Linked DNA regions of Drosophila melanogaster. The protein of the gene in region 2 interacts with the protein of the main gene of each other region in a pairwise test. Each region holds a gene or a part of one and is shown on either strand. Other genes may lie near its edges.

Region 1 (5,315 bases), on a different chromosome or scaffold from region 2:
GGCTCGTGTGTCATATAGACATATATGCGAATCCTAATGGGAACGATGACGTATGCGTGATATCACCCAAAATCGCTTATCACTCATCCCACCGCAAAGAAAAAAAAATAATAATAAAAAAAAAAATAAAAGAAAAAAACAACAACCCGTAAGACAGAGCTTTATACAATTGTGTTAGACTGGCGGATGGGATCATCATAGATATAACCACACTATACAGTAGATAGTATATCGTATTAAGCATATATAAGCCGCATGCCCGTGGCTTAAAAAAAAGTAGAAGAACAACAGGCCATTTCTGGGATGCCTCCAATTATTGCTTTTGTCGGCGGTGAGGGTATATATATACATATATACCATATATTGCTATATGAATGCCAGGCAGATAAACCCGCTTGATAAGCGCGTAACATTATTAACCAAACACACATTGGCACACATACATATACGATCAGACAACATACATATCCATATCTCTTGCATATACACATATGTACATGTATGTATGTATGAGATATCCAGGTGAATTGCTTTATTATCGTTATCATGACTCCGAAAATTCGGTTTCTAATACTTTTATTTGCTTTACAAACTTTTCGCCGTCTGCTGACAACAGCAACAGCAACAAAAGGAATAATAAACCACAAAAAAAAAAAGATGCCATTATATAAACGTAAATATGTGCTGGCTTATATATGTACATAATATTTATCTATAATACAGTATACAGTTAACTAAGATAAGCTCTTTTCCTCGCTATCGCTGCCGTTGTTTTGTTTTGCAGTTCTAGATACGAAAAAAAAAACGAATTAAACCAACGGATCCGAGGTTTTCGTATTTTCGTAGATATATACTTGTTTTTTTTTTTTATCAAGGAACCCCCTATTTTTCAACATCACCACCATCATATCGTTCTCATTCACTCAAAAAAAAAAAAAAAAAAAAAAAAAAAACGATAATTATTATAGCGAACGAAAAGCGAAGAATACAAAAAGACTTCTCCGAGTAACAGAACCTCATTTTAGTGATAAGATAAAATTCTAATTAATTAATAGCCTTTTAAGCAAACGCATACACTGAAAGAAAAGACCTGCATATGCAAGGTGGAAAAACCATTAGCTGATAAGGCGCGGGATTACCGTTCTTGAGCCTATATATCATCTCATCATCTTTAAAACAAGATGAAACTTAGTGGTAATTCGCATTATCAAGTCAGTAGTTCAAGGGATTTTCTTTGTTTTTTTTTTTCTTTTTATATTTAATAGATATGCGTATTGTAAAAGTCTTATTATTATAGTCTTTTTCTATAGTTATAATGGTCTTGCAGTTGATAAACTAAACGGTATAATACTGCTCTAGAGCAAAATAGATTGTTTTTTTTTTTTTTTAATTATGCCACATTTCATCTACGCGTAGCACCCGTTTCTCCCTGTGTATATGCACCAACTTGCTTATCTCTTTCGCTGCCATTCAGACCTGCCCTCATTCACTGCTCTTTTATGCTTTCGATAACAACAACACAAACAATCATTAATGATATTTAAAAACGAAAAAAAAAAAATAGTGTTTAATATTAAATTTACTAGGCTGCTCCACTTTGTTACTTGTCCGTTTTGCCAACCCGAATTCTTTAGTCTAGTTTGAGATTTCCCTGGTTTGTGACGTCATCGCGGGCGCCTACCTTCTTGGATCGATCCCGCTGACGATCACCAAGCTGCGTGGCGGCCATTAGTTCGCTGATCTGCCGCTCCCTCTCACGTTCGCGATCCCCCCGCTCGTAATCCTCCTGAAGCATCTCCTCCGCATCGCGATCATCCTCATCGCGATCCTGCTCATCGCGATCCTCGTCGTCATCCTCCTCCTCCTCCTCCTCGTCGCTGAGACTGCTGCTCTGGGTGCTGCTCTTCCTGGCGAGCGCAACTCGAACTCCATTCACGATGCACTCGCCACCATCGAGGGCAGAAATGGTGGATCCACAATAGTAGAGATTGCTGCAACTGCTTGCTGCACTGACATCCGATTGGCCATCGTCCTTGCCACATCCCGGCGACATTCCCGCCGCTCCCGATCCACCGTGTCCATGTGCGCCATGTCCACCGCTATGACTGTGATGTCCCGCCTCCAGGGAACAACGCCGCTGACCACGCGCCCGCTGCAGACGAAAGTATTCCATTTCCTCCATGCTAATGCCGCAGGCGGTTATGTCATCCGAATAGTCGCTAACCACGACGGATGGTGTGCGCACATAGCGCACGCCCAGCGGCAGTCCACTGACGCCCAGTTCGCTGTACGAGCTCTGGGTGGATTCACGTCGCGATCCCGGTGCGGCTACCACTCGCTCCTCGAGCAGCACCTTGGTGGGCACACCCACGCTCGGATTGCCACCGCCGGTGGGCGATGTCAGTGGCGAATCTGGCAGGGCTGTGGGTTCGGCCAGTGGCAGTAGGGCCGGTCGCAGGGGTAAATCCGTTACGGTCAGTGTCATCCGACGTTGTGGCGGCAACGGCACATCCATGCCGCCATCGTCCACGTCCAGACCCAGGGCGGAATCACTACTGGCACAGCGTGTGACCTTCATTTTGCGCTGCCTCGGCGATAGGCTGTTATCCTCGTTGTCGCTGCTATAGGGACTCAGTCCGCCGCCGGTGACATTACAGCCCTCATCCGAATTGGATGCAGTGGCTCCGGGCAGTGTCTTGGGCTCGCCCTCGTTGCTCAGCTGCTGCTGCTGCTGCTGCTGGACAATCATGGCCTGGAACTGATCGATTAGCTGTTGCACCGGCTTGCCTCGTTCCGTCTTGCAGCTGGGATAAGCACTGCGGTAGTTGGTGGTGCGAGTGATTCTAGTGGTGCTGCTTGTCTCGCTATCGCGGGCTAATCCACCCACTTGATTGCCGAAAAATTGCGCTTTCAACTGCGCCTTGCGTAGGGCCAACTCGGAGATGGATGCCACCTCACATGGATAACCAATGTCACTTCGCTGATTGGATGTGGCCGCAATTGGGTTTGCTCTAGCTCTGACTGTAGCTGCTACTTTGGTTCTGGCTCTGGCTCGGGCACTAGCTCCAATCTGCTCCGCTGTCCGCTGATAACTGAACGCCGTTGCCTCTGCCGTCGTCCATTTATTTTCAATTTTAACCGTTCTCCGCGTTGTCGTCGTTGTTGTTTTTCCAATTGTTGTTGCTTTTGCTGTCGTTTTCGTTTTCGCCCTCGCTGCCGACGCTTTCGACGTCGACGTCGACGTCGTTATCTTTGGCATGACATCGAATTGGAAAGCGGGGGCGTCAGACGTTCGCGAAACCGTTCCCGTACCGCCGTCGCACGCACTCATCTCACATGGATGGATTGGCTGGATCGCGGGTAGAGGTGGGGTGGGTAAAGGTATGTATACACCAGGTTAGCAAAGAGTTGGGACTAATGAAGTAAGTGTGAGATTCGTTAGAACAGCAAAAATGAAATAGGAATATGCAAGAAAGTGTAATGGGATTGGTGATAAGAAAGATGTTGTAAGCAGAAGAAGTTGAAAAAAGTGCAGAAAATGGAAAATGGAAATTCGTACTATTTTCTGTATACTAATTTACTAAGGCTTATATAAAGAATTCAATGGTAAGAGATGGTAAAAAAATAGCTAGAATGGTAAATGTTAGAAGCGAGTGAAAAGTGAAAGGCTGGCGGATAGAACGATAGTAGAAAGCATAAAAACAGTGAAGATTTCCGTTAAGAATGAGTGTGTGAAGATAGTTAAAAGGGAGGATGGGAATAATAAGAAAAAGGATAGTAGAAAGAGAAACTAGTGAAGAGTAGTGGATGATGGTTGGGTAGTGATTGGGAGTGACTGATAAGGAAAGACTCAAAAGTGAAATGGTGCTTATGGTGTTGGAAAACGATCTGTGTGTTCCGTCGAAACGCGCTACTAACGCTGGCGTCGAGGCAAAATCGAGTGGAACTATAGGTGAAAATGCCACTGGAATTCCCGGCAAACATTCTACGTCCGCACTTTCCGAATGGCACCTGTGCGCTGCCGTCGCCGAACTGAAATCGCTTTCTGCGGCTCTGCAGCTCTGCCCGTTTTTTCCAGCGGGCCGGCGGGAGGGGCGAAAAGAATCGAGAAGAGCAGCGTGGGGGGCGGGGGGAGGGGAGTCTCGTGGGGCGAGAATGGGCGAGGGGAGGAGGCTCGAAGAATTGTATAGAAGAATCGTTGAGCCGCGGAGTGGAGTGGCGCATCAACGGAGAGCAGCTGTTGTGGGGGCGGGCGGCCGTTCTGCCGTTCTTATTTACTTGTATTGTTGATAGTTTTCTTCGACAAATTTGCTGTGCCTTACTTAATTTTCGGTTGCTTTTGCCACTGTTCGGTTCTCTCGCAATTGAGATGGATTTTTTGGTGCTACTGCAACTGCCACTGCGTCGGGGTAATTGTAATTGTGATCTTGAAACGTTGACGCAATGTGCAATGATCCCGCACGTACGCACGCACACAACGGTAGCTGCTCCAATTGCCGCGCGTAATTGTAAATTGCATTTGAGCACAGAGCACTGAGCGGGCACAGATACGTCGCACACACACACACACGCGCGAACACACAGAGAGGCGCACGCACACCAGCACACACAGTGACAGACTGACAGGCGATGCGAGCCCAATGCAATAAAGCACTCTGCGAGCACCACTACAAGCGCACAGTCACGCACAATGGGACGAATCGGTGATTTATCGCCAAAAAAAAAAAATGAATTAAAAAAAACCCAGCTGACTAAGAACTTTTCCCGGAAAGCAACTAAAGCACTAACTAGTTTTTCAAGATCAGATTTATGAAGCTTACCGAAACAAAAGGTATAATTAAATTTTGCAGTACAAGCACTTATTAAAAACTAAATTGTATGGTTTAAAACTGGCAGCAGTCTTTAGTAAACAATTACAAGCTGTAAAATTCCCGTTGAAATATGAACAAAATTAAATAGCTCTGCCCATGTTCGTATCGTGTTCATGTTTCTGCTTATAAATAAGTTCCCATCTTGCTTTTTATAGTTAACTATCAGACCAAATGACGCAAATAACATTTTATCGCTTTACACCAACTTTTTGCAAAACACAAAACCAAACGAAATCGACCCCAGATTAAATTCTTCGAAATTAAAACCGAGAACAGTCCGCTATACACAAAAAAAAAATATAAAAAACCAAAAACCATTTACGTACATGACTTACGAAAGACGAAATATGTCAGTACATTTGTATAGCTCAACCGCAAACCAACGACCTACGTCAAAACTGATTGTAGTTGCAGAAATTCCGTAGCAAATTGCAAAATTTTTTT
Region 2 (4,863 bases):
CTTTAAATGGTTCGTGGTTATATTATGTACGAAGAAAATATAACACAATAATATTTAACGCAAATGTATGGTTTCACTTAAAAAAAGTTAAATGCGAACAACACTTTTGGTATTTTATTATAATATTCTTTGGTAACTTGATACTTGTGTGGCCTTTGGTGCAAGTTACTTAACTGAAAGTCAGTTCGTTTGAACAGGCTTAATTATTCAACGAGGTCTGGACGTTTGGCGATTGTCACGCCCTTTGCTCATTACTCACTTAGGCCAAGACAATATCATTCGATTGGGCCAGTAATTACCAGTGTCATTGAATGGCCCACACATCTAACACCCAAAGTGATTAGGCACTTTATAGCCGAAAAGCGTTGAATCACTTTGCAGCTCACAGCTGCGGTTCTCGTTTGGTATTGCCTTGCGTGTCTTTGCGTTTTCCTTAGAGTTTCCTTTTGGCCAAGGCCAAGGTGTTTTGACCTTTAACCGGTAAGTAATAGTGCCCAGATGTGCTGCACAAAATGTTTAAATTTAACATATATCATCTACCAATATTTATTTTGTGTGCTGTCATCGATGCTCATTCCAATAATTGAATATTTGAATGATCAGCCATTATATGGCGTCCACTCACCAGGTTTTTATTATATTTTATTTTATTTTTTACAGTTTCCAAGTTCATTTTTTCAATGTTGGCTCGTGTGAATTTTATTTATAACTTTTCTATTTACAGTTTCGTGTAGCATACATCCCGGCGACCGCCCCTTTGCCCCGCATTCACCCACTTGCAAAACAACAGCAGCCACTTTTATGTAGGCTCTGTACCTGTATCTGTGTGTGCGCCGTGTGTGTGAGTGGGGATGTCTCTGTGTGTGGATGAATGAAACTAGAGCGCACCTTGATTCTATTTTTAAATGCCACACAAAACAACAATTGTCGCTTAGTTGCGCGTTAAGTGTTTTTCATCCAGCTTCCCGCGACCAAGTTCATTTTATTCTTAGGATGCAGATGCAGCTTTTCTCGGCTAGAAGCACTTAAAATAGTTGGCCAGGGATTATATAAATAGATGACAGCGAATTTAGTTTGGCAAGGACCTTGTCGTGTAAAATCGCTTAAAATATATATATTAAATCTCCATATATTTGATTAATTACATAATGTGATTTACACTACTTGAAGTTACTTTTCAAATCGGTGAAATTAGATTACAATATGACCAAATCAATCACGAATCAATGTCGCACGAGTTGGAAAACTATGCCAAGTTGACTTTTTAATCGGCTTGTGCATCTAAATGGAATTGGCATTTATTTTATGGTTTATTGCCAAGCGGCACGATAGTTGCTTTTGTTGCTTATCAATTGTTGCGCACAACTTTTGTTTGTTTGTTTCCTTTTAACAGCTTGTCACGGATTAAATGACACGGAAATTGGGTTGAATAATGGGAATTTTTAATGACGCAATTTAAACGCCATGTAAAAAGAGTTTTACCACTTCTGGGAATAATTCATTTTGTAATATTGTTAAAGAAAATAAAACAAACAAATCGTATACTCAAGGAATATGTTAGTATATTCGATTCTCACCCATATATTACCGCAATGCTAAAAAATAACATATGTAAAGCTTCACTATTTTGGAAAATTATAAACAAGTTGTCGACACTTCTGCCAAAAGTTAAAAATATGTATGAACAATTTAATATATTTTCACAGTGCCGTAAACAGTAAACAATTGCAGCCAGGTGCGTCTTCAAACACAGATTCTTATTTGTTTAAATAAATATGAAAATTAACATTTCAATAGTAAATCGAAGCCTCACATCCAATTTTAAATATAATCTCACAAAAATACTCTTTGATGCGTTTTTTAAACATTTTCATTATTTTCCTCAATTATTGAATGAAAAACCTGGCACAGCTCAAACTTCAAATAGAGCCCATAAATATTTTCCATAATTTTGCGAAAAATAAACAAAATATTCCAGACTGTTTTTTCGCATTTTTCAAGGTGAGTGTGTGAATTTTCACTAGCCTGCGTGTGTGTGTGTGTGGGTGCCTCTGCGAAAATGCGATGGTGTGCGTGCGTGCGACTTTGGCGCCTAGTCAAATAAATCGCATGCGATTAAAATTTTATACAAATAGCTTTAGAAGCGTGCGTTTTGCTTTGTTGTGTTTCATTTGCCGTGCCATTTCCACCTTTTCACTGTTTGTTTTCCATTTTTTTTTTTTCATTTCTAGTCTTAAGCTGCGTTGTTTTTGGTTTTTTTATGGGGGCATGGCGTCAGTTAAATGAGTTGTTGTTTATAGTTCTTGAGCATGTGTGCGAAAAATTTGCATTTGTAGCGTAACGCTTTTGTTTACTTTGTAGGTTAGTTTGTTGGCCCATTGACTTATATACACACACTCGGCTAAAATATAACATATATATTTACCTTCGATGCCTTTTGATGGTGACGGCAGCAGCGGCGGCGGCGGCGGCAGCAGCGGCGTTGACGAAGAAAGCGGCGAAAGCAGACGGAGAAATTGGCCAAAACGGAGATGAGGGAGGTAGGAGGAGTTGGTGATGGCTGATGGTTGAGATGGGTGGTAGTGGGCGGTTGGGTGGTGGTGGGTGGTATTAACCTCAAAGCATGTCAGCAAACAGCTCCTCGAAAGCACTTGACTTGACTCCTTTCGATATTTATATTTTCCTGCCCTCCTTTGCGTGCCTCGTTTTAATTTGTTAATGATTTGGGCTTATTCATTTATTTGCATTATTTGGCGCTCACTCTTCCTAACTCTGCTTATTTGGTGTTATGTTACATTTTAGCAAAACTTGCGGTCCTGTCTCAACGATTGTTGTTGCTGTGCGGAAAATGCCAAGCAGCAAATGTAGCACGAGCAGCAGCAGCGGAAAAAGAAACAAGAGGAAAAACTGTATCTTTTAGATCCGGGCATATCCTTTATCTCGAACAGCGACTGCGACGCTGGCTGAGGCAGCAGCTGTAGCTGTAGCTGGAAAATTTCCTCCAACTTGTTTGTCTAACTCTCGCGTTGCTTTTCAAAACGATGTTTTAGCATTTAAGTTAAATTTAAAGCTGCAAGCTGCAATGATACAGCAGCAACAATCGTTTCCATATATAAAATCCAGCAAAAGAAGAACTCGATAGCAGCAAAAACCGCGCAGCGTTTTCCCCGTTTACCGTTTCGCCGTCAGACACACACTTTTCCCACAAATAAAGCCAGAAACCGTTCGACGCGCGCACGCGAGTGTCCTATACACAACTGATTACAGGACTGCGAAAATGGAAAATGTTTGCCAGCAGCGACGCTTCGGCATTCGGTTTTCCCTCGCTCGGAAAATCTCCGGCTATCGCAGCCAGGCTTCTGTTGCCGAAATATCCGGAGCCACTCCGCCGGAGACGGAGAGCGAGTTCGCCGGAGAGTGGGTGCGCACTCACTTGGGTTGCGGGCGGCACATAGGGTATAGCATAGCCCTCGGCGGTTACAGTGGACTAAGTAGCCACATAACGCATATAATTAGTTTGAATTGTAATAATATTGGAAGAGCTGTTTTAAATGGCAAATATATTTACTTGACTGACAACGTGGCGTATGAGTAATTTTTAAAATATGTTACTAATGAAAGACAGCCTGTTTGTGACATTTAAATTCATGACAACTATTATTATATTGTATATTATAATAAAATAATTATTATTTTATTATAAATGATTTTGGATAAGAGAAGGAAATATTTATTTACAAAATCTAGAAATTGTTGAATTTATATCTCGCACATAAGAAGTACTGCTGAAAGCATCTTTAAGATAGTTATGAATCTTCCAACACCCTTGAAAGTAGCCCACTGTGCAAGCAACACTCATATTCCTCATTCATCTTGCTCAGCCCGCACAATTGGCTGCCAAAAGTATTGCCACACCAGTGTCGGCGACTTCGTCCTTTCACTTGAACGCCAAAAGTGAGGCAGTCTGGCAGCCTCTACTTTTCTGGTCCTGGTCCCCAGTGAGGGTCTTCTTCTGTTACGCTGCTGTTATCCTGCAGACCGCGAGGGTCCTGAGAAATGACACCCATGAGTTCAGGATGAATACGACGCCACGACAGCCAACCAATCCTCCATTTCGCACATATGTACATATGTACATACATCGCACATACCTATAGTGTACATATGTATGTACATATGCTCGTCTGTTGGACATTTGCACTGTTTTTTTTATACCAACGAACGGACGCGTAGGGTTTACAGCCAAATGACAAGTGCTTAGTGTTTTGCATATGCGTGTGTGCGTACACTGAGAAAAATTTAGTTTTATTTTTTTGATCTTTTATTCGTATATAATTCTCATAAATAACTCGAAATTATTTTATTTCACATATCTTACAAACTAAATGTATATTATTAAAAAATAAACACATTTCTATTAAGTTGATGAAAAATTTTTCAGTGCTGGATTTAGCGGCTTGATACCCCCATTCTCATTATTCAAGCTGGAAAATGGGCAGCTCGGGGATGGGGACAAGTGTTTGAAGCACTTGGCGCACGCTTGAGCGGCTTTCAAATTTAGCGTATTAACTCATTAAATGTTCAAAAGCTCATTGCCTGCGAAATGTGCACACATTTCTGTGAATGCGAGCGAGGGTGTGAAATATGCACAAGTATGACACTTTGGCACCGAGGGGAAGACAGTTTTAATACCGCTTAATGGGCAATCGGGCGGAAGAAGCTTGAAATAAATAGAATTCCCTATACTCCTAACAATATCAAAATTTTTAATTAAATTTCTAATGACCATGGAAGAACGCTCGGGGACCTAACAATATAGGGTACAGTACATAAAACATGCTGTGAAAAAAGGGGTAAAAACAG

What was found.
Region 1: the proteins of CG5890 (region 2) and IP3K2 interact in a two-hybrid assay, tested with the Drosophila melanogaster proteins (2 studies listed by BioGRID).

What each region holds. Positions count from the first base shown.
Region 1 is NC_004354.4:13,303,314-13,308,628, reverse strand, and holds the start of IP3K2 (inositol 1,4,5-triphosphate kinase 2), read right to left. Parts: upstream 3,115-5,315; 5' UTR 2,750-3,114; coding exon 1,682-2,749; exon of another isoform or gene 625-1,681; intron 1-624.
Region 2 is NT_033777.3:25,854,536-25,859,398, reverse strand, and holds the start of CG5890 (uncharacterized protein), read right to left. Parts: upstream 3,246-4,863; 5' UTR 2,426-3,245; intron 1-2,425.